Linked DNA regions of Alligator mississippiensis. The protein of the gene in region 1 interacts with the protein of each later gene in a biochemical or structural test. Links are inferred from orthologs where the notes say so. Each region holds a gene or a part of one and is shown on either strand. Other genes may lie near its edges. The genes, in order: ATR and ATRIP.

What was found.
Region 2: the proteins of ATR (region 1) and ATRIP form a complex in vitro, tested with the Homo sapiens proteins (4 studies listed by BioGRID and IntAct, with this or other methods). The link is inferred for Alligator mississippiensis from reciprocal best matches to the Homo sapiens genes ATR and ATRIP.

Annotation. Positions count from the first base shown.
Region 1 is NC_081830.1:56,491,774-56,507,167, reverse strand, and holds the start of ATR (serine/threonine-protein kinase ATR), read left to right. Parts: upstream 1-7,400; 5' UTR 7,401-7,448; coding exon 7,449-7,507; intron 7,508-7,732; coding exon 7,733-7,824; intron 7,825-12,542; coding exon 12,543-12,686; intron 12,687-13,851; coding exon 13,852-14,741; intron 14,742-15,394. UniProt on the Homo sapiens protein: Serine/threonine protein kinase which activates checkpoint signaling upon genotoxic stresses such as ionizing radiation (IR), ultraviolet light (UV), or DNA replication stalling, thereby acting as a DNA damage sensor.
Region 2 is NC_081835.1:37,254,639-37,270,710, forward strand, and holds the start of ATRIP (ATR-interacting protein), read left to right. Parts: upstream 1-8,030; 5' UTR 8,031-8,438; coding exon 8,439-8,853; intron 8,854-10,502; coding exon 10,503-10,588; intron 10,589-12,986; coding exon 12,987-13,157; intron 13,158-13,849; coding exon 13,850-13,965; intron 13,966-16,072. UniProt on the Homo sapiens protein: Required for checkpoint signaling after DNA damage. Required for ATR expression, possibly by stabilizing the protein.

The DNA.
Region 1 (15,394 bases):
AAGAGGAGAGAATTGGAGCTCAAAAGGGAACTTTTTAGAACTAGCAGGAAAAGGAGTTTGATACAAAAACGAAAATAACTGGATTACATCTACAAACAATTCAGTCTGGGGGGAAAAAAACACTTGGCAATGTAACAAGCTTTTCACCAGCTGTGAAGGGGGAGGGGGGAAATCAATCAGTCAAATGATAATTATGGGGAAGGAGTCTACAAAAACAACCCAGAAATTGTTCTTTACAAAGAAAAATCATACATTTTAATTGCAATTTAGTCTTGCAACTAACTAGCACTGGGCCAGATTTGGATTACAAAGAAGAAACTTTGTGAAGAATTTGGCTAGCAGTTTGTACAACTGTATTGAATAAACATGGATCCGTTAAGCACTTTTGTAAGCCTTGAAAGTATTGTAGCTTTTCCTATTAGATGCATTTAAAAATGAAAACTCGTCCTGCTCTGGATATCATCAAAGGAACCCTCAGTTCCCTTTGCTAGCAGTTACTTATAGGATGCAACTCTGAAAAAATTTCCTATGCCACTGACCAGCTAAGATAAATTGTGAAACATAATGAAGTCCCTGCTAACTATTTAAAATCTGCTTATCAGAAACAACTCAGTTCTGCAGCTCAGGGTGCCAGAAATCCTTTAAATTAGCATTTAAACAAATACAGTCTTCCTGATAATATAAAGGCTGGGTAAACACAGCTGTGTCTCAAGTCAAAGGTTTATTAGGGGGTGACTCCAAATCTAATCTGAAATTTATCGATTCCTGTAACAAGAGAAAGGGGTTAGCTAATTTTAAAGTAATTATTAGGATAACTTTGAGACTGGAAGTGACATCCTTGGCTAATAACTGCCTTCCATAAGAAAACATATATAAAAGAATGCCATATGAAAATTAGTTATCCTCTCCCTATCATACAGACATACACACGTTGTTTGCTTTATTAATACTATATTACTGAGGTTTAGCAAGGCTGCAAATGAATCTGTGGCACTCTCACAGATGTGCTGTTGTAAGGTATCATCTTGATTCCCTTTAGAAGCATCTACACAAGTAGAATAATTTAGAACCCTCCGAAGTCCAGGAACTAATCCAACAATTTTAATTTACCATTAATAACAAAACCAAGTATATAGAAAATAAAGGTAGCATCTGATGCAGGGATTGTTTTAATAAATTTAATGAAACTGGGTCAATGAATCAAAGATCAAACTATGTAAATAGTGATAAATAATATCACACACAAACTATAGGAGAGGATAGAAAAAGAGAAGTCCCCTTTATTAAATGTTTGATTCTACAACCTTCTATACAAGTAGGTGAATTACATCTAAAAGGTCTTTTAATAAAAGTGACGTAACGGATTACAATGTTGTATAGTCACTATACAGAATTGTTTATATCAATAACTGAACAACTCCCAATGCATATGTAACTTGACCTGGCTATCACTAATTACTGCTTTTTTATATTTATTTTTTCCTGCACCCCTCTCCCCCCCGAGCCACTAATATCCTTTTCCAAAATTCCTTACTTCAAAAAGTATCTAACATTGGCCGGGTGTGCAGTGGACGAACCTCAAGGTTGATATAGACTGATGATATAGTACGATGATATAGTATACCATCAGGGATGGCTTTATTAAGCCTCCCCCAATCCTTTTATACTCCAGTGGCATGGGGTACTTGATCAGATTTCTTTCTTTAGTACTAAGTCCAATGAATTGTTCCTTATTATAAGTCAAGATACTATAATTCCTATAATTGTGGTTATTCTGTTTTCTGGAATCAAATTATTCTACATATGGGTACCACCCAGTGCCATTTTGTTCTGTATTTGATAAACCCATTTATTTAGACCTAAGCACTATCTGTTTTTTATATGAACTTTTACTGTCAAGAATTAAAAGAATTTCACATGCATTTGTGAGTTTTGTGAAAAATATTTTAATTAGTCACTGCTATAAAAAGGTAGGTTTGAGTACCATGTACTCATACCTGATCTGGGTGCTAAATATATGGAGATGAGGCAAGGCTAAGACATCTTTGTATACCTCTACATCACATTTAATATATTGCTTTAAAATGACTTTATCACTTTCAATATTGTAACAAGATGCCTCCTATGCCCCAGGTCTTGTATTCCCTTTGACAATACTGTAATTTGTGATCATTCCTGCATAACATTTTCCTCAATAGCTTTTAAAAAATGCTGTAAAGACCATGCTTTGGGACTTCATGGTGAAGAAATGCAGAAAGTCGGGGAAGGTGAAATCCACTCCTCTAATTCATAGCTAATAGCTATTGCATACATTTCTCACCTTCATGTGGCTCCTAGTTGAACATTAAGCCAATAAGATCTATGGTATTGAAAGGCTATGATACCGTGCCTTTTCCTTCCCAATCATGCCTTCTGTACTGAGCTATAAAGTGACAACATGGAAACCTTTTCTATGGCTCACAGGATTTAGGCATGCCTGTTATTCTTCTGCAAACATGATGTTTTCTACTATAATTCAAATACCCTTTATACATCTTTTTTAATGTTAAGTTATTCAAATTATGATATAGAAACCAAAACAGGTGCTAGGCATTTTCCATATAGGTAAGAGAGAATCCAATCCCAAATAATTTAATCTAATGCATTCATCATGCAAAGTTACAAACATGCTAAAGAACAGATTGTCCCTATTTGCATAATGAAGGCCTATACAGACAGCATATGAATGTAAAGGGTAAAGGGGATAGGAAACACCTTTCACTAGATCTCAATATTTTATATTTTCCTTACTGTTACCTATTCTATTTTGTCCTGTAGTTGAATTTGTACCAACCTGCATTCTGTTTGCCAGTCGAGATGCTTACTCAAGTTACATTTTTTAAATTATTTCTTCAAAATAATTCTTAATTTATTATATTGTGTTTTAAATTATCAAAATGATTCTACAAGAGTTGGATTTATTTTAATGATCAAACCCTTCTGCCATTTAAATCTGTGTTACTTTGTTCTACTCAGACCAGGTGGCACTGAAAAAGAGCTGAGTTTTCCTTGAACAGATATTTTTATGATGTACAGAATAATATCCAAGCCAATGTGTTCAAAGGTCTATCAACCATTCTGCCAACTAGGTTAGCACCTTCATGACCATATATGGAATTAAATCCTCAGTTATCATACAGGCTATCAGGTACAGTTAAAGCACCAGAGCAAACAACCAATAAGTTATAAGGACAGCCTTAGTATCAATAAAAATTAACTTATTGCAGTGCATGACTATTCATTCCACCATCCTGACTGACATTTTGAACAATGACATCCAAGTTACTCTGACTTTAAAGAGAAGTGAAAATTTTCTGGTAAAGGCAGCAGTGATAGTACAGCAACTGTCTTGGTGTGGTTGGTCCTCTTCATATAGCTCCAGAATGCCCACTTTTCAGGACCACCTTTGTCAGCACTGAACCCATATTAACAAAACCGAGAAAATGATTCTGGTGTGGATCAACACTCCAAGTTTCTCTCATAACCAGCTCACAACCAAATGACTAGACTAGAGTAGACCCCAGCTGTCGCTCTTTTGCTCCAAGTCAAAATTAACTTAATTAAAATGTCACCCAGTTCACTCTAAGATACTGTTAAGCATACGGCAGGAAGGGCAATAGGACAGCATGGGATAGAAGACAGAGGATCAAGGGATCAGCTCTTTGGCCCTTATGCAAATGAGAAATGAGGGGGAAGAGAACAGTTCTTAGTGTATACAACTTGTTGATTCTGGCAGGAAGCTTTACGTTTGTGCATACACTGATTCTCCAATCTCACACAGTTTTTGCTACCTGCACAAATCCACACTGACACTGGATGAGGGTTGTGGACATATGGGAGGTACAAAACAATAAGGATAACACTCACTACACAGATATGAATGGATATATTTTCACTAGGAGAAGAAAAATTTGAACTGTGTGTTCAGCCACAATGCACTTCCTCCTTTTGTGCATCCATTTGGGTCATAGTTCTTCAGACAGAAAGAAAGAACATGGGGCACAAAAGTGTGAGACAATGGAATGAAGAAGAAACAAAACAAGGTGAAAAATAGGACAAAGTAGGAAAAGGAGAAATTATATGGAAAGACAAGGAGAAGGACCTGGGAAAAGGGAAACAGGGGAGCAGGAAGCAACGTGGCAAAGGAAAATGGAAGAAATTATCCTCGACCAAAATAAATTATTATCCTGCTCATTGTCTGTTTGCTCTTGGTTATTCTTAAAGGTTTTTTTTTTGTTGGAAGTCAGAACGTATACTTCTTTCCCTGAACAGCTCCCTCTACTGGATACTGAAGCAGGAATGGGTCTGGCTTTTGGGGGCCTGTAAAAAGACATGGGGAACCTCTAGAATTTTTCTCTACTTCAGGTACCACACTGGAATTTGAGTACCAGCTTAAGCAAGATCTCATGCCATTAGTAGCCTTTAGAGATTTTTTAACAGACGGGCAAAGTAAGCACAAACATATTTACCAATAGGGCTTGAAAAAGGTGGTAATGAGGCTTTTGATCATTAGAAGTTTAAGAGCTAGCTTGGGTTCCTGTACAGCACTGCATTATGCCATACAGACTAGGTGTCTGAATTGTATTCCATGTATAGTGTACTTGGAGAAGAGAATCATATGACCCAAAACATTTGTGCCATTCTCCCATTTTGGTTTACAATTAGAATAGCAATAAAAAACCCCAGTACTGGGCCAAACTCCTGGAATCTCCAGATAGCTTAAAGTTTCTCCTAAAGTTACCATCAACTATTACAATGTTAACAATACTGACAAATAAAACTGTCTGTCTGTCACAGGTATAGCACAACAGTACAATTCATAAGTGATTACTTCTGCTTTCTGCAGACTTACCAAGACAGTTTGTATTCTTTACAAATATAAAGGCTAGAAAGCTGTTGGACTTTTAATTAAATAAAGTTTAAATTCTGCAGCACTATGTGCATGAAGGATCTGCCACTGTAATTCCAGACGTGTTCATTCTGACTTCTGGTCTTCCCATGCCATAAAGTGCCATTGGTCAGGCTGCAGTTGGAGTATTCTGTCCAGTTTTGGGTGCCACACTTCAAAAGGGATGTGGATAACCTGGAGAGGGGTCAGAGGAGGGCCACTCACATGGTTAGGGGCCTGCAGGCAAAGCCCTACGAGGAGAAACTGGGGGCCCTGGGTCTTCAACCTCAACAACAGAAGGCTGAGAGGTGATCTTGTGGCCACCTACAAATTCATCGGGGGGGGGGGGGACAGCAGGGAATAGGAGATGCTCTGGTTACCAGGGCACCCCTTGAGCTAACTAGGAACAACGGCCACAAATTGACGGAGAGCAGATTTAGGTTAGACATCAGGAAGAACTTCTTTACGGTAAGGGTTGGCAAAAACTGGAATGGCTTTCAAGGGAGGTAGTGCTCTCCCTTACCTTAGGTGTCTTTAAGAGGAGGCTAGACATACACCTGGCTGTGGTTGTCTGACTCCAGCACTCTTTTCTGCCCAGGGCAGGGGTCGGACTCAATGATCTGCTAAGGTCCCTTCCGACCCAAACATCTATGACTATAAATCTATGTAACGCAGACACCATGAAGCCTGCGTCTCCTGTTTGCTGACTGGGAGCGGCTCTCAAGAGTTAACATCTAATATGTTCAATAAGTAGCAAAAAGGAAAGAGAAACAAATGAAGATTAATCCTAATTAAGTGTTTCAAAATCTTTTGAAATGTCACAGTTCCTTATCATGGTATCACTAGGGCTTTGAAAATACTCGACAAACAGAGAGTTAAATTCAGATGTACGAATATAGGCATGCATGTAACTGAGTGCAACCACTTTTGAATAAAAAAAAAAAAAAGAACTGGTAACCATCACTAACAATTCAATAACTGGAACACAGGCATGCTCGCTCAATTTCCTCATCTGTTTTACATGCAAAATTCAAAGCATCATAGCTGTGGAAACAGGCACCAGAAACAGAAGCCACAGAGAGGATTTTATTTCAGTGTGTGCTTCTCTGCAACACTGTCAACAATGCAGGCAAGACTTCATAAAACAAACACAATCAACTGCCCTCCTCAATAAAGAAAGCCCAAGTCAGGTCACTTCCCTTTAGACAGTAACATCCAGGAGAATATGTAGACATCAGTAGACACATACAAATAAATAGTTTTCTGTGTATTTCCTGAAGTCTGGAAAAACTGTTTACATACGGAAAGGCAAGAGGTGCAAGAGCTTCACAGTCTCAGTCATGTCCTACTGCCTTTCATAAAAAGTGTCTTTAATTTTCCCCCTGGCATGAGGGAGGAGGTTGTCGGGGGGAGATGTCTGACAGGACTGTTGGGCCACTGCTTTTCCAGCACTTTATCCCCTCTCCCGCCTTACCTAGTACAGCTTGTCTTCCGAAGAATGAACTGCACTTTTTAAAAGCGGCCTCTAGTTTTCGCACATACTACATTAAAAGAGCCTCCCGGGAAGAGCAGCGCCCGCCTGGGCACAGAGAAGAGACTGGAGAAGTTGATCCGTGCCACAAGATCCTGCCCCCGCCACGGGAACCCCCGCGGACGCATCTCATCAGGCAAGTGAAGGGGCGACAAGCGCAGCCCGCTCCCCGCTGCCCAGCCTCTGCCCGTCCCTACCTCTGCCCGCAGCTGCTCCGGCCCCGGCCCCGGCCCCGGCCCCGTCCGCGGAGCCTCTTCGGCGGCGGCGGCTGCACCAAGAGTTGCCGGGATCCAGCAGACACCTGCTGTGGGCGCCGCCGCATCCCCCGGACAGGCAGCTGCCAGCGCCAATCGCGCTGGGGTGGGCGGGCCGCTCGGGGGCTGCCGGGTCCCGCTGCTGCCGGCGGCGATGGGGACAGCGAGCACCGCCTTCATCTCCCTGGGGCTCCCACCGCCCTGCCCCTGCCCCGCCCCGCCCCTCGCATGCGGAGGCACCAGGGCTCCTGCGTTCCCGGGGACTAGTGGGGAGCTCAGCGCCCCTCGCGGGGCTGGGCGTGGAGCCGCCTGTCGGCACCTGCTGAGACACCTAGAGCCCCCGGGCCTTAAGTTGCTGAGAGCCTGCCCCCCTGCCACGTGCGGAGCTGCCCCGGCCCCAGCCCCTCCTAGTTACTTCTGGCCGGTGCCGCGCGTGGGGCCGGCTGCGCCGCCCAGAGCCCCCGGGGTGACCGGGACCTGCTCCCGCTCAGCCGGGACCTCTTGAGCTGCCTAAACCCCCACGGGGCGCCCTGCAACCCGCCCATAGCCCGGACTCCCCGGCCCCGGCGTCGCGCGCGCGCGGAGCTGGCGCGTGGCTTTCGTGATGCTCCGCTGCCCCACGGGAAGTCGCTTGTGCTCGTGCAGCGCGCCAACCGAGGCGTGTTGGTCCGCGCCGGCCGCCGTCCCGAGCGCTGGCCCCGCCCCCGCCCCCGCGAGCAGTGGCGCGCTGGGCGCGATGGCGGAGCCGGGGCTAGGCATGGCCTCTATGATCCCGGCGCTGCGCGACCTGGGCAGGTAGGTGCGGCCGGGCGGGCACCTGGGTCCACTGCTCTGTGCCATGAGCGCCCCGAGCGGCCGGGCCACAGCGGTACCCGCGCGGAGCAGCGCAGCGCCGTGTCCGCGGCGGGACAGGCCGGGGAAGCGGCGCTGTGGCCGGGCTCAGGGAGGCACCGATGTTTCCCAGCCTGAAAGCCGGCTCGGGCACCGGGTGGTGCTGACGCGCCCCTTCTTCCCCCGCAGCGCCGGGCCCGAGGACTACCCCAGCGTGGTGCAGAAGCCCAGGCAGATCCTCGGCCAGTTCGTTGACAGGATCCTCACGGATGTGGACCTGGGTAAGGGAAACGGGGCTTCAGGGCGCACCCCCCGCTGCCGAGAGTGGGGCGAAGCTCCCTTGGTTGGGAACAAACCTGTGGGTCTTCTCCCAGCAAAGGCTTAGCAGACCTGAAGCAGTTTATTTGTATAATGACAGGGTTTCTAGGAACACCAGTAGAGTTGAGTGAACTACAACTGTCTAAATAAATGCTAGTGTAAGTGCTTGTGTGTGCCTGCATGTGTGCATACTTGTGTATGCTTTTGCACATGCCTGTGCTTGTGCATATGCTTGTGCGTGTCCATAGATCTTCATCAAGGGTGGGCAATTATTTCGGGCTGAGGGCTTACTGAGTTTTGGCAAGCCATTGAGGGCCACATGACAAGCAGCCAGGGGCAGATAAATATTTATTTTCTAAATGTTTTAGGGACCCCGTGGTCCTGATAAAATGACCCGGCGGGCTGCATTTTGCCCACCCCTGATCTACATGCACATCTGTGCATGTGTATGCAGTGCTGTGGCAAGGAAGTTTGGCTCCTGGGGCAAACCCACAGCAACAGCTCGCCCTTATCCTTCGCACAGCTTGCAGGGGGCAGGGTGGGACACACGTTCCCCTCATCAGTGTTTGTCTGGGAGTGCATGCGGTGGTGGGGGAGCCACCCTTTCCCGTCCCCACGCCTCCCCAAATGAGCTGTTCGCAACTCCATCCTGTTGGCGCCCCTTCGGTTTGGCACCCAGGGCAGTCACCCCATTTGCCTCCAGCCCTTTGCTACAGCACTGCATGTGTGCATGTGCGAATATATGTACATACACATATAATGATGTATTAAAAAGCAAGGAGGCTGCATCATAAATGTGCTCTGTTCGCTGAAGAAATAAATCCTGCCATTCCTTATTTGAACATTTTGCAGGATTGAGTTCTTATTTTGGCATCTTTAGTTTTTAATTTTAGAATGCTGTTGTAACTTATTGTAGCCCTTGCTAAATCAGAGGTGTCAAAAGATCCAGCCTGCAGGCTACATGCCATCAGTGGAGCCACTGCAGGCTACATGCCATCAGTGGAACCATGTCATGTGTCCCATGTAATTAGAAAGTTAGTAAGAGTGAGCAGTGGCAAGATTAATTGCTGTGGCTTGTCTTGATACCAAATTTCCAACCCCATATGCTGGATACAGAGCAGGGAGCTGTCATCTGGCCCATGGGGCTGCCTGTGAGCTAGAAATTTGGTGGTGGATCAAGTGACTGCTGCCTCTCCAAGAGCTGCAACAAGTTATATATTTACCTGAATCCAAAATGACCTTGAATTTAAGAGACCCCCCAATAATTCTCTGTGGAAAATGTATACATTTATTATAGTTTTCCCTGTATAGAATCTAATTATTGGGGAATCATCTTAAATTCACGCCCCCACCCCTGCAGGTGACAAGGGGACAGGCAATGAGGCGACAGTAATGGGGCAGACAGTGAAGGGGAACGTGTAGGGCAGGTGGTAGGGGTGCAGTAATGGGGCAGGCAGTGGAGGGAGCAGTGGAGATACAGGGAGTGGGCAGGCAGGCATAGATTCATAGATTGTTAGGAGCTGGAAGGGACCTCACAAGATCATTGGGTCCAGCCCCCCTGCATTAGGCAGGAAAGACAGCTGGGGTCAGGTGACCCCAACGAGGTGATTATCCAGTCTCTTGAAGATTTCTAGTTGATGCATGGCAGAGTATTGTTTTCCCTGCTGGCTACAGCAGCACACTGATGGCTCATGTTTATACTATGTTCTATTATTACCCCTAGGTAATAATAGTTATAGTTTCAGTCGTGGTGCTAGCAGGGCTGTCCCTAGGGGTGGGCAAGTGGGGTGGCTGCTGTACAGGCCCTTCTGCGGCCTCTGCGCGCTGCCTGCTCCGCGGTCCAGCCACTCCACCGCACCCCCACACAGGCTGATATGCCCCAGGCCCCACACACCCCTAGGGACAGCTCTGGGTGCTAGTCAGTTGAGCACCACCGAGCTTGTAAGTAGTATGTTGGGGATTATTCATCCCCAGATGGAGCACTTTACACTTCTCGAAGTTTAATTTCATCTGGTTCCGATCCGCCCAATTTGCCAGCCTGTCTAGGTCTGCCTGTATCTGCAGCCTATTTTGAAGTGTGACCATGCTACCCAATAACTTGGTGTCGTCTGCGAACTTGGTCAGTGAGCTCGTCACCCCGACATCCAAATCATTGATAAAGATGTTGAAAAACACTGGACCAAGCACGGACCCCTGAGGGACACCACTGACCACTTCTCACTGAGGCGACACAGATCCATTCATTAGAACTCTATAGGTCTTACCCCGCAGCCAGCTTCCTACCCACCTAACTGTCAAACAGTTAAGCCCATAATCCTCCAATTTCCCTGTGAGACCATTGTGGGAAAGTAGATCAAAGGCCTTTTGGAAGTCTAGGTAAACAGTGTCAACCTCCTCTCTTTTACTTAGGTGGCGAGTTACCTGGTTGTAGAAAGAGATGAGATTGTTAAGACAAGACCTGCTCACAACAAAGCCATTGCACATAGACTCCTTGAAGAATTTTTCTAGGATTTTCCTTGGGATAGAAGTTAGGCTAATTGGCCTATAGTTGCCTGGGTCCTCTCTCCTCCCCTTCTTGAAAATGGGCACAACATTGTCCCTTTTCCAGTCTTCAGGTACCTCCCCTGAGCACCACGAGTTTTGGAAGAGTTTCGCCAGAGGTCCCGCAATGACTTCCACCAGCTCCTTCAGCACTCTCCGATTAAGTTCATTTGGTCCTGTTGACTTATAAATGTCTAGCTTTTCTGACTGATCACGTACCGGCTCAGTGTCAACAGTAGGAAGGCGGTCATTCCCACCATGCCCATTCTGAACCTTATCTAGTATGATATTCCCCTTAGTCCAGTGAAATACTGAAGCAAAGTAGTGATTCAGGAGTTCAATTTTCTCCTGAGTGTCAGCAACTAGCTGTCCTGAGTTGTCACACACTTCCATTTGTTTTCCTCCTGTTCCCTACATACCTAAAGAAGGACTTCTTATTGTTCTTGATTTCTGTAGCTAGTTTAAATTCAGTCTCTGCCTTGGACTTTCTAACCTGCTTCCTACAAATGCAGGCCGTTGTTGTATAGTCCTCCTTAGAGACTGTCCCAAGCTTCTGTTGTTTGTATGCCTCTTTCTTCTTTTTCAAGAGGACCATGATGATATCCGTATTAAGCCAAGGGGGCTTACCAACCCTTCTGCTACCTTTCCTCTGCATGGGAATGGACTTCTTGTGTGCTTCGAGGATTGTGTCCTTGAGGAACAACTACTCTTCATGCACTCCTTTCACCTTCGGTCCCTGATCCTGCAGCACTTCCCCTACTGTTGCCCTGAGCCTGCTGAAGTTCTTTTTTGATGTCCAAAACTTTGACCCTGCTAGCTGATTTGCCTGCCTTGCGATGGACAGTGAATGTGATGGGTTTGTGGTCGCTGTCACCCAGGTTACCCTCTATATTCAAGGCACTCACCAGATCATCTCCTTTGGCCATGACCAAATCTAGGAGAGTTTTACCTCTGGTTGGCCTGTGTACTTCCTGAGTCAGGTAGAGCTCTTCGATACAGGTGACTTATCCAACTTAGCTGAGTGCTCCTCCCAAGAGATGTCTGGGTAATTGCAGTCACCCATAATGGCCATGTCCCGTGCATGCGTGGCCTCTGCCAGTTCTTGAGAGAACTGCAGTTTGAGCTCCTCCTCCTGGTTTGGTGGTCTGTAGTATATACCAACAGTCAGGTCTCTCTTACCATGCCCACCCCCCCGGTAGTTTGACCAAGAGGGTTTTGAGCCGCTCTTCTTTGGAGCCAATGTTGGCGTCTAAGGAGGTGTACTGCTCCCTCACATAGACAGCTACACCTCCACCTTTCTTCCCTACTCAGTCCTTTCTGTGCAGGTTGTAGCCCTGTATGGCTATGTTCCAATCATGTGAGAAGTCCCACCAGGTCTCCATAATCCCTACTAGATCATAATGCCCACTGGAGAGTAGGAGGGCTAGCTCTTCCTGCTTGTTTCCAATGCTCCTGGCATTAGTGTACAGGCACCTGAGTCCTCCAATTGAGACCCTTGATTTCCTGTCATGCTGAGGGAGAACCATTCCCTCAGCTCTTGGAAGAGTGGCTGTCCTAGTGTCCCCAACTTTGGAGCTTACTTGTGTGCCGCTCCCCAGTGTTTCACCATGTCCCACTGATCTAAAGCCCTGTCTAGAAGCTTGGTCATCGTGGCCAAGAACAGGGACTTACCTCTCCATGTGAGGTGGATGTCATCCTTTCCCAGGAGTCCTCTCTCCCTGAAGTGTGCACTGTGGTCACAGAAACCGAAGCCCTCTTGGTAGTGTTGGCTATATGATCAACACGTGGGTTTGGCAAACCGAGGTTTATTGCATAATGTATGGATAACTCAGGCAAATTTAGCAGTTTGTATAAAAATTACTCTTACTCATTCACACCAAGTCACTTATTCGCATCACTTGGAGTCGCACATTAGCAGTCAATAAAAGCCAATTGCCGAGAACATCGATTTTCCTTTTATTGGTGCTGATACGATATGGACCAATGTATCAGGGTACCTCTAAGATAAAAAGTGTTGTGACTTGTAGAGGTTACAATACAAGTTTCCATAAGGAAAGTGTTTATTTTATCTGAAGAATTATTAAAATAATTACATTTCTATGGTATAGTATTAATGGGAATGTTTATCTTTTTTTTTAAGTTGCTTTGGAACTTGCTAAGAAAAATGATTCTCTGCCAAGTTCTGTGATGCTGCTTGATTTTATTCAACACATCATGAAATCTTCTCCGCTTATGTTTGTAAGTGTAAGTGAAAATCTCCCAGAGGCTGAGTGCAGTTGCATAGGTGAGTTCGGTTTTTTTGTTTGTTTGGAGTTTTTTGGCGTACTTTAATTACAAGAAGTAGTCTAACACAGGAATCAGCAACCTATGACCCATGGGCTGGGTACAGCTTTGGAGCCATTTTATCTGGCCTATGGAGCTGGGGGTCTTTGTTGATGGCAGGGCTTTGCCCATATGGCAACCAGGCAGTGGGAAGAAATGGCAGTGGTTGCACCGTAAGAGAGAGTGGTGACTGCAGTTTCAATGGTGGTTGTGTGACCTGGGTTGGAAGTAATACTACTCCTGGAGCTAAGCTCTAACAGAGCAACCCCCCGTAAAGTGTTGCCAACCCATTGCCTAACATATATTAAGGTCAGCTCATTACACAGACTTCCTTTATCTCCATATCTGTTCTCTTTCATGTGTTTGTACTGTATGTTGTCAGTGAAATGAATCTCTGATGGCCTGTCACTGTAAACATGTTAGACTTGTGCAAATGAAAATAGGTCAGTACATATCCAAGGACAGATTTTTGGATTTCTTCATCAGATTTTTTGACAGATTTCTGGATCGTTTAACCATTAAAATACAAACCAGCTCCCATCTGGGTCGAATCCTAAATGACATGGTAACTTTCTGTTTTTCTTTTGGATTTTGGCAAGTACCATAAAATATGGTAGACCAAGGAAGCCCAAGGACAAAGTAAGGCAGGTCAGGTCTCCTGACCAAAAAATAATCTCTTCAGTTAGAATTCATGCCTTCCTTTTCACACTTTTTAAAAATCTCACCTGGGAAAGCTATCAGGAAACCCCTGTATGCCTACGATAGAGGGAAAGGAGTGGAACACAGATTAACAGTTTGAAACAGGTGTATGTATGGTAACAAGGTTAGTCACTTGCATAAGAGCAGGCAATGACTTTGAGCAGTCACAATAGAGGAGGGGACCTGTGCTGTAAAGAACGGTCAGCCATCAGTTGCGGTTTGAGATGAATGCCGAGGACAAGAGTTCTTTATAGCATAGTACAGTGTTCTGAGGCTGCCACTTATATTTCTTTGTTTTTCTATTTTTAAAGGTTACATATTAAAGGAGCAAACAATAATTAAGGAAGAATCATTTATACCAAGTGGTTTTTACATAACCTTCTTAGCATATGAATCACAATATTGTTTTTGTTTTGTTTTCTTCCTAGAATTTAGTAATTGGATCATAACAAGGCTTTTACGACTTGCTTCAACTCCAAACTGCCACACGTTACACAAGAATATCTGTGATGTCATCTGTTCTTTGCTCTTTCTTTTTAAATCAAAGAGCTGTACCATTTTTGAGGTGCTAACAGGAGACTTACTACAACTTTTCCAAGATCTAATTTTCTTGCATGAAAGAAAGAGACAGAGGCAACTCCACGGGGGGTTGTTAGTCTGGCCAGTAACAATAAATAGATTTTCAAGTAACAAAAATGATAATTTAGAATATTTAAGCTCAGCCCCATTGCAATTGATGGGCATGCCCAATGTTGAATGCTTGGAATTCACATTAATAACCATTCTAACTGACATTGTTCCTGATTTGTTTTGTGCAAGACAGGACCTTATTCTGTGGAGAATAGGCTGCTCTCTATTGGAGTATGGTAGTCCAAGAATTAAATCCCTATCCCTGATCTTTTTAGTAAAATTAATACAACTAGGAGGACCTCCAGAACAGCTTGCCAGTGCCTTCTTTATGGCCTTCTTTGGATTGTTGCAGTCAATACTTGAAACAGATGTTGAAAATTTAGAACTCTTTGAAGAACCTTTGCTGCTCTTGGTGAGGACATTGTTCCTCTTGGAAGCAGATTCCTATAGAAGAATTGAACCCATCTACCTATATATACTCCTAGAGAAGCTTTGTGCATTGTTTGAAGCAAATGTGCTCAGATACATCCAGTCTGAAAAGCTGAAAGATGCTTTGTGTCATATACTGCAATATTTTCTGAAGTTTGTGCCAGCTGGATATGAATCTGCTTTACAAGATAGAAAGGCCCATATTGGCACCATATGCACAATTTTTGTTGATGTACTTGGAAGTCAGGTAGATCAAGAGGTAGGTTAATTTGAAAAACTACTTTTCCTTTTGTCATTATGATACATGAGTGTACAGAATCTGTGCAAGGGAGATTATCTAGATGCTAGCCATTTCAGAAATGCATCTGGGGTAGTGAGTTGGGTTAGGAATAAAGCATGCATTATTTTCTTTCTAATAGTTCTCTTTGTATAACTTCTATATGAAGTTTTGCACTTCGTGTGTAGGGGGTGTCTCATAGAGCTCATAGGTCTCCATGCAAATGGAGAGGTCTTCCCATATAGCATATAGAACTGAGGCACAAGATTGTACTTGACTTGAAGAATTTACAGTGTACTGTCTGTATTTTAAATTGTGTAGCACATTTTAGGTGCTGTAAAAATAGATAGGAGGTCATCTAAGGTTGTGGGTATGGACAAACATAATGCCTGAAATGTTTCCAAAATCCAGATGCATGCAGGGAGTAGCCCAGGGGAGGCAGGAATGGGAGCGAACTATCAGTGCTTCTCTGCAGCCCCCACGTTCTTGGGCTACATCCTTGTTTTCCCTATCCTTTCTTTTTCCCCATCCCCAAGTCGCTGATGTTGGTGAGTGCTCTCCCATGGCAGTGGGGAATGCAGGGTTCTTGCAGCTCTTGTAGTGTCCTGAGTGCCTGTAGTCCTGTTGCCTAGAGT
Region 2 (16,072 bases), on another chromosome or scaffold:
GTAGTACTCCATGTGCTTGGTGTGGTAATGGACTGTGTTGAAACATGAATTGCACTGTGTGAACACAGGCTCTGGTGGCAGCAGCACAGTGTCATGTGAGTCCTCACTTTGACTGGTGATGGACTCCTTGTACCAGACCTTATGACCTGAACAGGGCTTGAAAGCTTTCCTGAAAGAATATACCAGGCTATCCACCTCGGGGAACTGCGTGCACCAGATGTCACTTATTAAAGACAGAGTGTGCACATTGCAGATGACATAACCAGCGTTCAGTAGCATTCCTTGGAGCCCATCAGAGGAAGTTTAGGTTAGTTATTAGGAAAAACTTTCTTACTAGGAGGATAGTAAAACACTGAAACAGGTTACCTGGAGGGGTTGTAGACTCTCCATCCTTGGAGATTTTTAAGGCCCAGCTAGACAAAGCATTGGCTTGGATGATCTAGTTGGGGATGGTCCTGCTTTGAGTTAGGAGGTTGGATTGGTGACCTCCTGAGTTCCCTTCCTACCCTAATTTTCTATGGGAGTTTATAGATGTGCTTTGGGAGCAAGGGGTGAGGACACTTTAATTAGAGTGGTTCTGAAAGCACCTCTCACCTTGCCAAGATGCTTTCTGTGGTCCTTTTAAACAGGGAGGACATAGTCTCTAGCTTCTTGCTCTGACATTCAGCCTCTGTAGCAGCCTTCCTTTTCATGTGTGCCTTGGACTCCAAGTGCTGAAATATGCTGGTTTTCCTGGACACATCCAAAATTACATTGCAGGAGGTACAGAAGAATCTGTCTCCATCTATGTGCAAGGTCCCTGCAGGATACTGCCTTGAAAGGTTCGGTGCTGAAATGTAGTTGGCCATCTTAGAGGATTTCTTTTTAGCAGACAAGCTGAATAAGAATCCTCCTCAGACAGGAGTATGCATGCTGCAGGAGCATAACTGTGGGCACTTTAACAGCTGGCATCAAAACCCTCCCGCTTCATCTGATTGGCTCCTGAACTGAGCCTACATCAGGGGCTCAGCCTCTGTTTTTTCCCTCTCCCTCCTCTTCCCTCCCACCCCATGCTTCAGGGCACAAGGGTTTCCCACTCTTTTCTCTACTTGCAACTGTTTTATTTTTATTTTTTTTGTACGCAGCAATGCTGTGCTTTTTTGTAGGGCCTGCCTGAAATCGTGGTTTCTGTGAAAATTGCAAGATTGTCATTTTGGTAAATCCCTACTTACAAAAGTGCACTTATCCAAATGTGTAGTTGTTTTACCATACAGGGACAGACCACAGGTCCATCTAGCCTAGTTCCCTGTTCTTCAGTGTCAGAGAGTGGATTGCTAAGGGGGAAGAGTATATATGCAGGGCCTATCTGGACTGAGATGTTACTTGCCCTGCTTTGCTTACATCAGGGGTGTTAAACATGGCCCACAGGCCAGATCCAGGCATGGAGCTGTGTCATCTAGCCCAAAGAGCTCCTGGAGGGGACAGGAATTTGTGGATGGGGTAAGCATGAGGGGAGGCAGGGCTGGCCAATGAATTTTGGGGTACAGTGTTAGGGTAGCTTGTCATATTTAGCTTTAGTTGAACCTGCTTGAATAGTTAATTATAGTATTATTTGAACTTTTCTTTTATATTCAGCTTTATTTAGCCATTGCTTAAGTTTCTGTATAACCTCATTATTATTTGAGCTTTTCTTTTGCTCATGTTAGTACTATCAGCTACCCTTGATCTTGCTTTTACAGGCAGCTTATGTTCCAGAGTTATCAACATAGGTGTGTATATTATGAGCCTTGTTACTAGCTCAGACTAACTAAACTTGGCACTAACCAACTAAAATAGAGGGATGACATGATTGGATATGTTAATGAAAGGTGATAAGGGGGGACCAATTGGAGAGTACCCAACTGCAGAGCCCCTGGGATTTCTGGAGTTGATAGACAGACCGAATTACGAGTCCAGGGCATGCCCGAATTAAGACACTGGTAAAAGACCAAATTAAGATATGTGCATATGATGGGTTTGTTGGGACAAAGGAATATGCTGACAGGATAAAAACATGAACAGTAGGATGATCACAGGGAAACCAATCAATGTTACCTGGAAATGAAGAGTCATCAGAGGAGTCAAGTTAAAGAAAAAGCGTAAAAGGGGGGTGTGATGAGGTCCATCCCTGGGCCTGTCTAACATAGGCCTAGCCCTCTGTCCCTAGGCTACCCACCCCCCTCTCACCTGCCATGCCTTGATGGAACAATAATTATGATGTTACTTAGGTGGGAGGATGCCCATTTACTACCCCAACCCTAGGGGTCAATATCCAGTGCTCCAGACCTCCCCTACACAGTGGCCCACACCTCACAGATGGTATATAAATGTTGACCTGGGCCCTAGGGCTCTGGGTCTGCTCGATCCCTGTTGCCACGCCCCTTGGTGCTGCACCCCCCTGGTGCTGGGGTCTGCCCACCCCCTGTCAGTGTGCCCCTTGGCAGTGGAGTCTTCCCTGTCTCTATGCCCCCTGGACACATTAGGACATAATAGAAGTCCTACAAGCCATATTCTGGCTCCTTAAAACCCCCAAACTGCCCCTTGAGTATTGAGTACCTCCCAGCTCTGGGTACGTTGTAGAGTCCTGGAGCCTCATTACCATAGCAACAGTTCAGCCAGCAGCCACACATTCCTGGATAGTTCTGCCATGCAGGAGCTCTCTTCCCTTGGCTACTTGCCAGAGACTTCCTTCTGTCAGCCTTGGCCTTGGGGTTTATATGTGCCCAGAGGTCTATCCCCTTCCTGTCCGCTGACCAGTTTAGGTGGTTGGGCTATTAACCCCTACCCTCCTGGTGCTTGGTGTTCCTATAGACTCAGGTCTTAAAGGGGCAGCCCTGCCTCCTAGTAACAGGGCTAGGATTCCCTTTTACATGGGACAAGGAAGTTGGGTGTGTGTTGTTGTCCAACAACATCTGGACTAAAAAACAGTCAGTACCCATAGATGACCAGCCTCTACTTTCAGGAACTGATTGGCCACCTTTTTGTGAAGTGGAATAACATCTGGGATTCTGAGACACCACTGAACTAAGTATTTTTCTGTCTCTGTGTAGAAACTATTAGTACATTTAATGCATTAATAAAGTTAGATCTTAGTTAAGTTGAATGGTGTGAGACATATTCTGTGTTTGCTCTGGGTTGATTATGCTTTAGTGATCCTTTAGCATCATGGGTGCATGACAGCAGAGAGGGTATGTTAACCCCCGCAGCTCCTTGGTTCACCACCAGCTGGATCCAGCTCACAAGGAGTCCCACAGTTCAGCTCTGGCTTGGTGGGGGGCAAACAAGTTTGACACCCCTACCTTCTAGCTCCCAGCATTTAGAAGCTATTCAGTTCATTCATGAAAGGGCTGTGAAAAAGGAATATTTTGTCTATTCAGGAGAAACAACTGAGGGAATCCTAGAAAAGTATCATTCCTTCTTACTGGCTATGGGAGCACAACTACTCCTGCCTCACCACTTCCACCACCAGACTGTCACTCCAGGAAGGAGTCTATTTTAACATCTTATCATCACCTAGTTTCCAGTGAGGTACTCCAACTTCTTCAGGATGTACTAATGCAACTTTGCTCTGGCACTGAAAAGTATTGCCTTTCTCCGGGGTGTGATCATGTCATGTAAGTCACATTGCCATTACAGTTGACAAGGTCAAGACAGCACTATCTTCTCCAGCAGTAGGAGAGCATAGCATGATGGGCTATTTCCCAATGCAGCGTACAGTGCTTGGCCATCACTTAAGAGGGTTGTGTCTTTGAAAGAGGTGGAGGACTGCAAAATAGGGAAGATTGTTTGGATCATCAGCAACTGGGAGACCACCATGGTCCAACACTCTCTAACCAACCCTCAACTATCCAGGGAGAATCCCAAGGGCTGGTGTGGTGTGGGTGCTAAGGTGTATGGTTGACAATTCAGAGATTGCAAGACATGAAAAAGAAAGGAGAGAGTCCCAGAACAGCACAAATGAGGATCATCCCCAAGGACACTTTGGAGGTCACCACAGGTACCTTGAGGGTTTGGGGGGTGACAAATGGACAGGGATACCCATCTCAGAACCTTGGGGCACACGTACTAATCATGTTTGATAGAGGCTGTTGAGATGGAAAGCCTAACATGTATAGGCCTCTAAATCACTGTAGAGAATTGCAAAGGCAGCAGAGGAAATTACTAGAAATGCAAGATAATACAGGTGCAATTCATACAGCACCTAGGATGGGGTCCTGGTCCATAACTGGTTCAATAGGAATATAAATAATTAATTACAGTTAATGACAAACATCCTACTGTTGGGAGTTAATTATCAATTTAGTCTCCAATTATCTAACCCTGCCCAAACAGCGGTTCTCTGTCAATTAACCCTCTGAAAGGTGGGGTAGTTCTTTGCCCAAAGCATATCTAATCACCACTTTTATTAAATAAATAACTCAGAGAATTGTTAAAAGTATACAAACAAGACAGTTTATTATAAAACTAACAAGAACAGGTTAGTCACAGAAATATACTTAGTCTTCTATACAAATCCTAACCCAACAATATCTTATCACAACAACGACAATAAAAAGGACTAAACTTTATTATAAGGGACAGGGGAACTTTATTTAGTTCTGCTCCGGTCACTGGGGTAGAGATGACTGCACCTCAGGCAGTGGCTTCTAATCTTCTTCAGACACGCACCAAGAAGAACCCCAATAACCCAGAAGAGAAGAACAGAATAGGGTAATGATTACGGATCAGAGCAGAGGGCTGCTACTTACACACCTGGAGGGAAGAGCCTGGGGAGCCAACCCTTTCTGCTCTGGTAGCAAACAAAGGATCTCCCATGGCGACTGGGCCCAGGAACCTCCGCGGCTCACACAGTGGATCCGTCACTCAGCCTCTCCGTGTGTGTCTCTCTCTCTCTCTCTCTCTCTCTCTCTCTTTCCTGCCAACAAGCACCCTGACTTCTTTCAGTCCAAAACACTCAGTCAGACTCCAATCACACACACACACACACACACACCTCACACCATTTCTGTCCATTAAAGCCCTTTATAAGGGTAGTGCACCTGGCACGCCAGGGCTCTACAAACGGCACATGGGTGTGCCCACAGCATATTCCAGGGCCTCTTGAGGGTGGGTCAGATAAAGGTCATCTGCTGACCTACTTAACATACAACTAAATGAGCCAAGCCCCGATTTCCACCATTACACCACTGTGTCATTCATGGTGTGAAATCATACTTATAGAAAATTATACAATAACAACAATGGTGTACCCTTCACTGCACACTTACCACTGAAGTATACTGTTAAGTGCATCCCACCACAAAATGAGTTGACACAAGACACTGGTCAACAAATACTCAAAATACTAACTATTGTGACATTCCTAGGCTCCAACTTTTATTTTTGCTAGGCAGGGGCTTAAGATGATGCTCCCTCTCCCATAATGGCATGGCTGAAGCAGAGGTGAGCAGTCTGTGGGGGACCAGGGACAGATGAGGACGGCCCACTGTCAGCTTGCAGCTGCCCACCCTGCTGCCTTCCTCACAGGAGCTCCATGCCAGCCGCACCAACATGACGAGGTGCCCCCTGCCAGCTCATCAGCACCAGGGGGCACAACTCTGTGCCACTACTTTGGCTGCTGCTGCTGGGCAGGCAGGGGGTGCCTCACCACAGTGGTGTGGCCAGTGTGGGGCTCCTGGGGGGAAGGCAGTAGGGCGGGAGCCCCAAAGCTGCAGCGGCCAGGCTGCATCCACCCCTGCCTCATGCACAAATCTGGGGGGGTATGTGCCCCCCACATTCTTCCTTCCTCAGGAGTGCATCAGCAGCAGAAAGCACCCCTTTCTCCCCAGTGATGAGCCACCCCTGGCTCTCTCACTCCCTGCCCCAGGCCCCAGGTATTGCCCTGGCTGGACAACACCCCTGGCCAGGCAGTTCCCCTACGCCCAGCCCCTCCCTCACTGTGGGGGCCTCAGTCTGTTCCACTCCCACCCCACAGACTTCCCCGCAGGCAGCTGGGGGAAGCTGCTCTCCACTGTTGCCTGGGGCTGTATTCCTGGTCACATGCATGTGGACCCCCTTGAGTCTCACCCCACAGCCCCCCGCAGGCTGGAACTCTGCCAGCCTGCAAGGGAAAACCTGCTGTTTTCCATGTTTTTCCACAGTGAAATGAAAACTCAGATCCCTGTACAATACTGGGAATCTGGGATAAATGCTGCCCCTGAGTCATGTAGCTGAGGACTGGGACTTGATGTTCCCATTTCAGGACTGTCCTGCCCAATTAGGGATGGGCGGTTACCCTACCCTCTTCTCAATGGGGGCCAGGGCCCTTGGGCCCCAATGTACTCGGCACCTATGGTGTCACTGCAACATTGCCATTCATTACTGTATTGTACCAAGGCAATGCAGTATCATGACACTACATCATGGTACTGAAACATCAGGACACAATGGCAGGACATTCCAATGTGCTCTGCTAAATTAGCTGTCACAGCACCATGATATTGCTTAGGCTGTGATGTTACCTGCTAAGGCAGTGATTCTCAAACAGGGGACTGGGACACTTTGTGATGCCACCAAATCCTTTGAAGGCTGCCGGGAGGTGTAAGGAAGAAAGCAGATTGTTATCAAAAACCCAGTACTGTTTGATTGTTTGAGAGAGACGAGACTACAGCCCGTCTATGATCAGGACTTCTTTACAAGCTTAGACACAGAATTCAGGAACAGTTACAAGTCCCTTAGAGATTACCTTTTTTTATACCAAATCAAGATACAATCTGACTTCCCAATTATCTCACATTCCTTTTTACCAGGTATGGTATTACTACCACCCTAGTTAGAACAAGAGACAACAGATGCTTCTATAATCCAACCTTTTATTCATTACACCCCAAAGCATAAGGTAAGCAATTATCTCTATGCCTATCTACCTACCTGCAACTGCACAATAGCCTTATCTTCTATACTGGGGGGAGATGCCGGGAGGAAGAGGAAGGTGCCATGCAGGCTTGCAGCAGGCAGTCTTGAACTTGCTGAGGTCTTTCCTAAAATTTCTGTTTATACCCAATATGTATACATTGCTCATTTAAATATTCTGGCTGGTGTTATTGTGTGGACTTGGAAGATGCCAACTAGCTGGGGTCTGGGTCCCTGTAAGAGGTGCAGTTTTGGGAGACAACTTCTGGTCTCTCTCTCATCATGTGGGAGCACTACTTGCCACCTTGTGCTCTTTTACTTTGCTGACTATGCCAGTTGAAACCTCTGCAGACATCCAATCCTAGAGAAGCTTTGTGGCCTCCTTTAGCCACACTTCTGCAACCTAGCATAAGTCCCTTGAAAGCAGCTGAGGCTAACAACAGGGTCACAAAGACATATTGTTATTGCAGGAGGATTCCAGCAGACTACAAACAACTCCATCATCATCACAAGGCAAAACATCGCTGGTTCTTCCTTGCTCCTGTTACACTTCTCACAAAAAAACAGTTCATTCCTGGCCCAGCCTAGCACTAGGGGCTTGATAAACAGATTCTTATTCTTTTTCAGGCCACTGCTCATGATTTAAATGCAGCCCAGCTTCAGCACATACACCCCCAGCTCAGGCTTTGCCCGGTCCCGAGTATGCACCGGCCAGTGCACCTGGCAGTCCCGGGCCCACAAGAGAAGCAGAGGCCGAGGCCCACCCGCCCCTCTGCAGAAGGCGACACGGCAGCGCCCGGCATTGCCCAACTCACATAAGCTACCATAGCTCATACGAAAGAGGCTGCGAGCGGAGGCTTCGCCAGGGGCAGGCCGCCGTGCCGCGGCTGCTGGGGTATAAGAGCTCCGTGCTTAAACCACAAGCGGCGCGGCGCGGCGCGGCCCGGCCCGGCCCGGCCCATCTGGCGCAGCGCTTAAGGGCGCCAAAAAGTGCTGGAAGCCTCGCTTCCTTTCATGAGATGCCGTTGCCAATCAGGGACAGCCTCACAAAGCCGCTTCTAACTGCCAATCGTAAAGACTTTTATTACTAACATTTCCCAGACTGCTGTTGTTTGACCTCTGCAGGTCCCGGCCGGAGTGATTCTGCCTGGGGCTTCTCTGATTGGTCAACGAGAAGAAATGGTCGCCGATTGGCTGTGCTGGCTGGCGGGTCTCGCGTATTGCGCGGGTCGGGAAGCTGCTCCAGTGCTGGCAGCGGTGGCTGGTTCTGCTCCAGGGGAGCAGCGCTCCCCGACCGTCTGCCTGCGGAGGGGCCGTGACTTGGCCGAGGGCGCACACGACGCATCCCGGGCTACCTGTCCCGACTGGCAGGAGCCAGCACTCTGAGCCCCGTCCAGTCTGCGAGGCTGGGCCCCGCCGGGCTCCTGCGGCGCGGCCGCTGCCCGACGCTCAGCGGCCCTTGTCCTGCGGCTCCGCGTCTGTGGCAGGCTGCGCCGAGCGTTGGCTCTGCAGGCAGGTGCCGGGACAGCATGGCCTTGAGCCGCTCGTCTGGAAACAAGAAGCGGAGCGGCGCCTTCCTCTACGGGGTGGATCCGACGCAGGTTCTCTCGTCACCTTCCACCTGGCAGGGGGCTACCGCCGGGGTCGGCTTCCCACCCAACAAGCGCTACAAAAGTGTTGATGTGGGGATGGCCCAGAAGGCAGAAGATCTCTTTGGTGATAATGATGACTTCACTGCTGCTGACTTGGAAGAAATTGATATAATTGCCTCCCAGGCACTGTCACAAGGCCGGGACTCAAATACCCTTCCTAGTACAAACGTTAAGAAACCGGAGCAGGATGTCAGGCCGTCCTTAATGCTAAACATCATCCATCAGAAGTCTGTGAACGTTAGACCGTGGAACGATGCTTCCAGCGCTGAACAAAATGCCAAAGCCGGGCTTGGTATGTGCAAGCCAGTACGTGGGCCTGTGGCGGGGCAATTGGCACCCCACGTCTTCGTTCCCAGACGTGGGGTGATAAGGCAGAGCTGATAAATCCATTCTAGCTGGGCTACTGAAGGTGTCTGAAAGGAAATAGGCCGTGGAATAGTCTCATTCTTTAATTTCAGCTCAGTAGTAAATGTTACTGTTGACAGTTTCATTTAAATCAATGAAGCCGTTCTTAAATATCAGGACACAAGGGAAAAATGTTTTTCATCGGTTGGGAAATCTCTTCCGGTGCTTTCTCTTTCTTTGTGTGTGTGTTTGGGTAACTCGATGGTACAATTTTTGGAGTTGTCGCCTGCAAGTAAACAATCGGCTAGATAGAAAGCACTACAAAATGTATGGTTCAGTCATGCTGTGACGTAAAGAAAAAAGCTTGAGGGAAGCCATTATGCCAAGTGTGTGTGGCATGGTAATGCTTTACTATAATAAGTACCTGCTTTGTGTATGTAACGTCTTCCATCTAAGGAATTAAGCCAGTAATTCTCTACAAAGGTGTCTTGAGATAATTTCAAGGGTGCCTGGGGGTGCTGTGCAAGTGTTAAATCAGCCCTTCATCCTTTCAAAGTAGGTACAGTACCTTGAATTCCTCTTATTTTTTTCTGTAGGTAAAGTATTTCAGGGAGGACTAGAAGAATCTGTGTTCTTGACTGTTCAACCCAGATATGACAGGTTTTAGGGCATCTCTCTGAGCAGCAGCATGCTGGTCTGTGCTTCATCTTTCTCCATCCCTCTTCCTGACAACTGTGCTGCCTGGTTATGTTTTATTTGTTCTGTGTGTATAGTTTTTGTTGGACTTAGTAAACAGCATTGAAATGTGCAACGAATAACTGTATGGTAAATGACTGACTAGTTACAGCTGAAGAAGGCTAGTTTGAAGTTGCTAGGCAAAATGACCTTAATTGGATTGCATACTTGCATTTTTAATGTAGTTTCTCAATCCTTGTGTCTTGTAAATAGATCCTGTGGTAGTGCATGCATCTAGTTGCAGGTTTACAGCCTAAATTTGCATCCACTTCATATTTTAAATGGGGTGGAGGAAGACCATAGAGAATATTTGGTATTCTGAGTTTTTTCTCTGTGGTAGGAATATGGGCTACCTATCCAAAAGATCATATCTATTGAATTTGGTTCAACATTTGGGTATAGTGTATTTCATGGTGAGATCAGGGGAAAAAATTTTAACAAAAGTAAAACCAAGAGAAATGACTGCATGAATTTAGAAATCTGGTGGAATCAGGCTTTCACACAATCTATTCACACACTTATTGTGTGTTTGGATTACAGACACATGCAGCTGAAAGTGAGATAGTATATACACACTTTTGTTTCTAGACATCTTTTGTTGTATTTGATAAAGTATATTGTGGTATAAATAGCAAAAGAAACAATTTCAAAATCTGATTTAATTTTACAACTTCCAGTATTTCTGTGTGTTCTTGTGAGCCTATATGCATGTTTTAGTAAAGTAACCATGGAAACTGTAAGTATGAACTTCAGGACTAAAATATTAATATGTATGATGATGAATATAAAAATATTGTGATATTAACATTTTATAACCTATATTACTTCAGAGTGAAATTAGTATTACTTCCTCTTTTTCAGTAGGAAATGGCACAGAAGATATTCTGGTTAAAGACACATTTCAATTTGAAGTACTGCAAACACAACATGAAAACCTTAAGGAAAAGGTTAGATACTTTTCTTTCTTTTTCCTAATTGTTTTTTGTACCATTCAGTACAGCATTTTTAAAGTAGTTTTGAGTCTTCTTTAAGTTTTAACTGAAGATCTTTTTAATTTCATTACATTATTCACAAGGGTAGAAGGGCCACCCTTTGTAAAATACATTGGAGCCAAATTGTGCTGAGAGGTATCAATATCTTGAGTTTCCGATATAACATGAAACTACAAGGCACTAATTAATCATGAGTTTCAGTCCAGCCCTTTTACAGTAGAAAACAGAGAATCAAATATTAGTTGGCAGCTCTGTTATGTTGTTTCCCATTAAATCCATATTTCTTACCTGTCCCTTGTCATTCAGAAAATATCTGTTTTGCTTAAGTTCAGGGCTTGAGATCAATGCCATGATCTGATGCCATAAATTTGTCTGTGTATTTACCTCATTATATGTTTGAGAGAGAATGTGAGTCAGAAGTGGATGCATGGTAATTGCCATGAGACTCCCTATGTAGCATAATTCTTGGGACAGTGCACTACTTGCTGTGTCTGTTCTAAGATGAGTTGATGAGAGCTGCTTGACTGCCTTATTGCAGCTATCTGCATGTTACTAGGGCAGGATGAACCCAGCAGAGGATATAAACTACATTTCCCTTTGTGCATTGAATGCTTAACCAAGGAAAGACATATTATTACAGGGGGAAGAATAATCTGAGAAGAGTATAAGAGGTGTCAGGGGGACCCAGTCTGTGTTTTGATAGACCTAGTACAGGGGTGGGCAATTTTTTGGCTGGAGGGCTGCTTAACAAGTTTTGATGAGTTGTCAGGGGCTGCATGGGTAGCCCCATCCCTTAACAATTGTCCCACCCCCTGGTTGCCATATTGGGAGCAAAGGTCTCACCCCCTAACTCCTGACCTTTGCCACTGGAAATCCATCCTGTTACCTCTTTCCCCTCCCCCCCCCCAGTACTCCTTTTGGGACGGTGGGGGTGGTACTATCTTGGAATCAGAAAGAAACCAAACCATACACTAGAAGTCAAACACCTGCTATAACATATTTTAATTTTATTACAAAAAATATTTGCTATGATTTGTGTTTGTGTAATGTATATAGAAGGGATTGCATAGTAACTCAGAAATAAAGTCTCGCTCTTACATTGTGTGTGTGTGTGGTAAGATGGAGGGTGTAGGGGGATTTGTGTGGGGGACATAGAGTATATTTGGGTGTATGTATATGTCAGTGGGGGTAGGGTGTGGGTGTGTGAGGTTTGTGGGGTGTGGGAACATCCCATGGCATGCAGCCCATGCTGCCAGCAGCAGCAGGCGGATGGGGGGTGGGGAGTGGGCTGAGGATGCTCATACCTGGCACAGGCTGGCACCCAGTGGAGCATGGCTCCAGCCAGCGCTACGTGCATGGGGTCCATTAGCGCAGCCTGTCCAGCTGCCTCTGGCTCAGCATGGTACACCTGCAGCTTCTGCACTCGCACTGGGGAAGCCCTGCACTGGACTCTGTGGGGAAACAAGGGGCAATACTCCTTCCACTCCCAGAGGAGTCCAAGGACCTGTGCAGCAGGTTGCAGAGAAAGCAGCCAGCTCTAGCACGCGGCTACCCCCAGTGCCAGTTGGGGGAGCTGCAGGCACATAGCGCAGAGCAGCTGGGCAGGCTGCACTCCTTGCCCTTGCGCGCAGTGCTAGCTGGAGCTATGCCATGCCGGGTGCTAACACCTGTGCTGCGCATGAGCACCCTGAACCCCCTCCCCCACCTGCTGCCGCTGCCAGTAGTGGGGGAGTGTGTGTGGGGGTGTCCCTACAACCCCCACTCTACCTCACACCCACACTGCCTAGCTGAGCTCCACATTGTGCTCTGTGCTTCCATCCAGCTGCCACTCCACCTCTCCTCACCCTTGCCCGGCCCTGCCACTTCCCTACCTGCTACCCAGTGAGCTGGGCATCTGGGAAGCCAAGCATGTTCCCATGGAGCAGCTGCAGCAGGAGCCCTGCCCAGAAGCTGCTGCTCGCCAAGCCAGGCCCTTCTGCTCACAAGGATGGAGCACAATTCATTGGGGGGCGCCATGGGCTGAGTGAAAGTGCCTGGTGGGCCAGATGCATTCTGTGGGCCGTATTTTGCCTTCCCCTGACCTAGTGACTAGTCATTTTCAAGATCTACTAACATAGACTGAGTTTGGGCTTGATAGTTAGAAGCTGTACTGAAATAGCAGTTTGGCTTATCTGAACAGTGTAAGAGGTTTTTCACCAGGAATTTTAAATAGGCTATACTAATGTCTCCTGTTCATAATGTTTTGATGTTGCAGCCTTCTGGGATGACCCTTTTTTGACTTAATTAATCCATAGTGGTATACATCCATGTTTCTTAAAGGTATGCTGTAATAGAGTGTGTTTGATATTTGCAGCTGAAAGAAATGCAGGATGAAATCATTTTTAAAAATGGAGAAATTAAAGTTTTGCGGGACTCAATGCAGCAGTTGGAGTCTACCATGGAGGAACAGAGAAGATCAAATATGTTACTGGAAAAGGAGAAAACCCAGACCCTGAACGAAAAAGAGAGAGAGTTTTCCAAAAAGGTCTGTGAAGGACAACTGCTTCAGCTATCTAACAGTTTGCATGGAAAAGCTGTTTTCTTTACTGATTACTTAATATGTTGCTGAAGCCACAGTCATTGTGAAGTCAAGGGAAGGACATGTAGACTAACTTTTCCTCTAATCCGGTACATGTTCTTTATACTGCAAAATTATTTATAGCTAAAACTAGATCACTGAATTATGTGAAAAAGGGGAGGTTTTTCTGAGTGAAACTACACTGTACATGAGCAAAACTTAAGTGATTAATGTGGGCACCCAGAATGGCAGCCTTATAATGGAAAAATTTAAGAGCACAGAATCTATGATTCTATTATCCAATTTCTGTTTCTTACGTTCTCAGTTTTTCTCCAGTGCCCTGCAGAAGGTGGTGGTGATAGTGGCTGCTGTTTACTCCATGAGTAAGGTCCTTACTGAAGCAGTCTCACTTGGTGACAGTTGTTGCTTATAACCGTCATGGTGAACCTGCTTTATTATTCTGATATTTTCTGTACTACATATGCCCTTATATAACTGTCACTTTGAATTGTATAGGAGAGGTTTGACGGATTTTTTTTTTTTCATAGATTGCAGTTAGTTGCATTGTTGTCTTGGAATACCATAGATATTTGGAATATGTCATTCTTCCAAGTTGTGTGGTGTTTATTGTAAGATGAGTCTCATTTTATTTTTTTCAGTTACAGTCCTTGCAATCACAATTGCAGTTTAAAGATGCTGAAATGAATGAATTGAGGACAAAGCTTCAGAACTGTGAAAGGATTAAGTCTGTTGCTTCGTCAGTTTCAACTGTCAGGTATTGAGTAGTTTTTGTAAGGTAGAAAACTTGTGTGTTATTTAAATAGAGTGAATGTTATGGGAAATTACTGCTGGTGTAACACCATTGACATCAGGAGACTCATGCAGATGGAGAATCCATGGCTCTCTTCAGATGCAAAAGTTGTTAATAATAATGATGATGATGATAACACTGCAACAGTCTCTCTCTTATCAGTGCATAACAAATACCTCAAGTGAGCAGGTATGTAAGAGAGGCAAGGATTTATAGTGATGTGTTTATTGACCTGAGGAGGGGTACTTGATGAAAGATTGTCTAACAGCTCTCCCAGCTATATAGTTTGTCCAATAACAGATGTCATTAAAAATCCTTGCCTCATACATTTCCTGCACCACTATGGTGCCAACATTTCAAATCTACTACAAGTATGAATGGGCATACTGAAATCTGAAAAGCATAAAGCCTTGTTATAGTTAGCAGCTGTTTCAAAACTAAAGAACTAGCAAAACATTATCTAGTTTTAACTGTGAATTTTAGGGGTTTTAAAATTTTTAAAAACTTGTTTTAAGTTTATTCAAATAATAATTTGGCTACAGTTCTGAATTGTTTGCCATTTTAATCATACAATTCAGTTTTCCAGGGCATTACGTAAAATAATATCTATTATATTCCAGACCTAGAGAGATGCTCTAATAAGATGTTTATTCTCTGACCAGAACACCCGCACTGTACCCATCTATGGCATCTTTCTGTAGAGTGAAAAGATGTAGCTAGTCCTACAGCTTTATGAAAGGAAGAGAGGAGAATACAGAGGAAAGTATATAGAGGAAATTGGGAACACATATCAAATTCCTCCCCTGACTCAGACTGCACTGCTCTATTTACCAAGTGGTGGAAAATGGGCATAAACAGATATACCACTGACAAGGGGAAGAGATGACATGGGAGGGGTGGAGTTTAGTTCTTGTGAGCACGTATTTGTTGTAACTGGCTTGTCTGTTTTGCAGTGATTTACTTCAGAATGATATGGGTGGTTTAGATCTACCTACCATTGTATCTGTCTGATCTCTTCTGTGATAAATTTCATGGCTTCATTAAAATGGAATAATTGTTTAGTTTTCCATGGCCTTAGCGCAGGGGTAGGCAGTGTTTTTTGGCAAGAGTGCTGAAAACTCCCCACAATGCCTACCTTGGAAGGTGCCAGAGTGCTGGCATGCCAGAAAAACAAAATGAGGGCAGGGGGTACATGGCAGGATGCTCTGCTGCCCCTTGCACCCCAGCCCAGGCTCTGTGGCTATCAGCAGCTGCCCAGAACCTGGACCAGCTGCTGCCTCCCTGCCCCAGTCCCTGCCTTAGCTGCCTTCTGGCCCCAGACCCAGCCCTAGGCTCTGGGAAGGCAGCAGATACCGGTGATGCTCATTGCTGTGCTGCCCTCACCTGGGCCCTCCTGAGCGCAGCGTGTGCGACACAGTGGCAGTGTACAGAGGGGGTGCACAGAGGGGCTGACTGCTGCTACAAGCTCCTTGCTGCCCAGGTCACACTTCCCCTGTGTGCACGGGAGCAGTGTGGGCAGCACGCAGGGTTGAACCCCTTGCTGCTGCCCCCATCTGCAGGGTAAGCGTGGCCAGGGCAGCGGGGAGCTTGGAGTGGCAGGCAGCTTTCTGCACGCCCCCCTCCCCACCCGCTGTTCCCTGCCATGCCGGGTTTCACACGCTGCTCCGCGGAAGCGGCAGCAGCAGCAAAGGCAGCGCAGTGGGGAGCATCGCTGGTATCTGCTGCCTCCCCGGAGCCCAGGGATGGATCTGGGACTGGGAGGCACCAGCTGTTTGCAGCCTCCAGGCTGTAGCCAACCCAGGTTCTGGGTAGCCGCTGATAACCACAGCTCCTGGGCTGCTCCCAGCAGCTGGCTGGGAGGATGGAAGCCCTATTGCAAGCAGCCTGGGCTCCGTGGCTATCTGCAGCTACCTTGAACCTGGGCTGGCTGCAGCTGGGAGGCTACAAACAGCTGCTGCCTCCCTGCCCTGGCTGTCTCCCAGCCCTGGGCTCTGGGAAGACAGCAGGTGCTGGCACTGTGCCCGTTGGGGCTGGGGCTGTGGGCTGCCCAGCAGCGGGGGGCTGGGGCCCT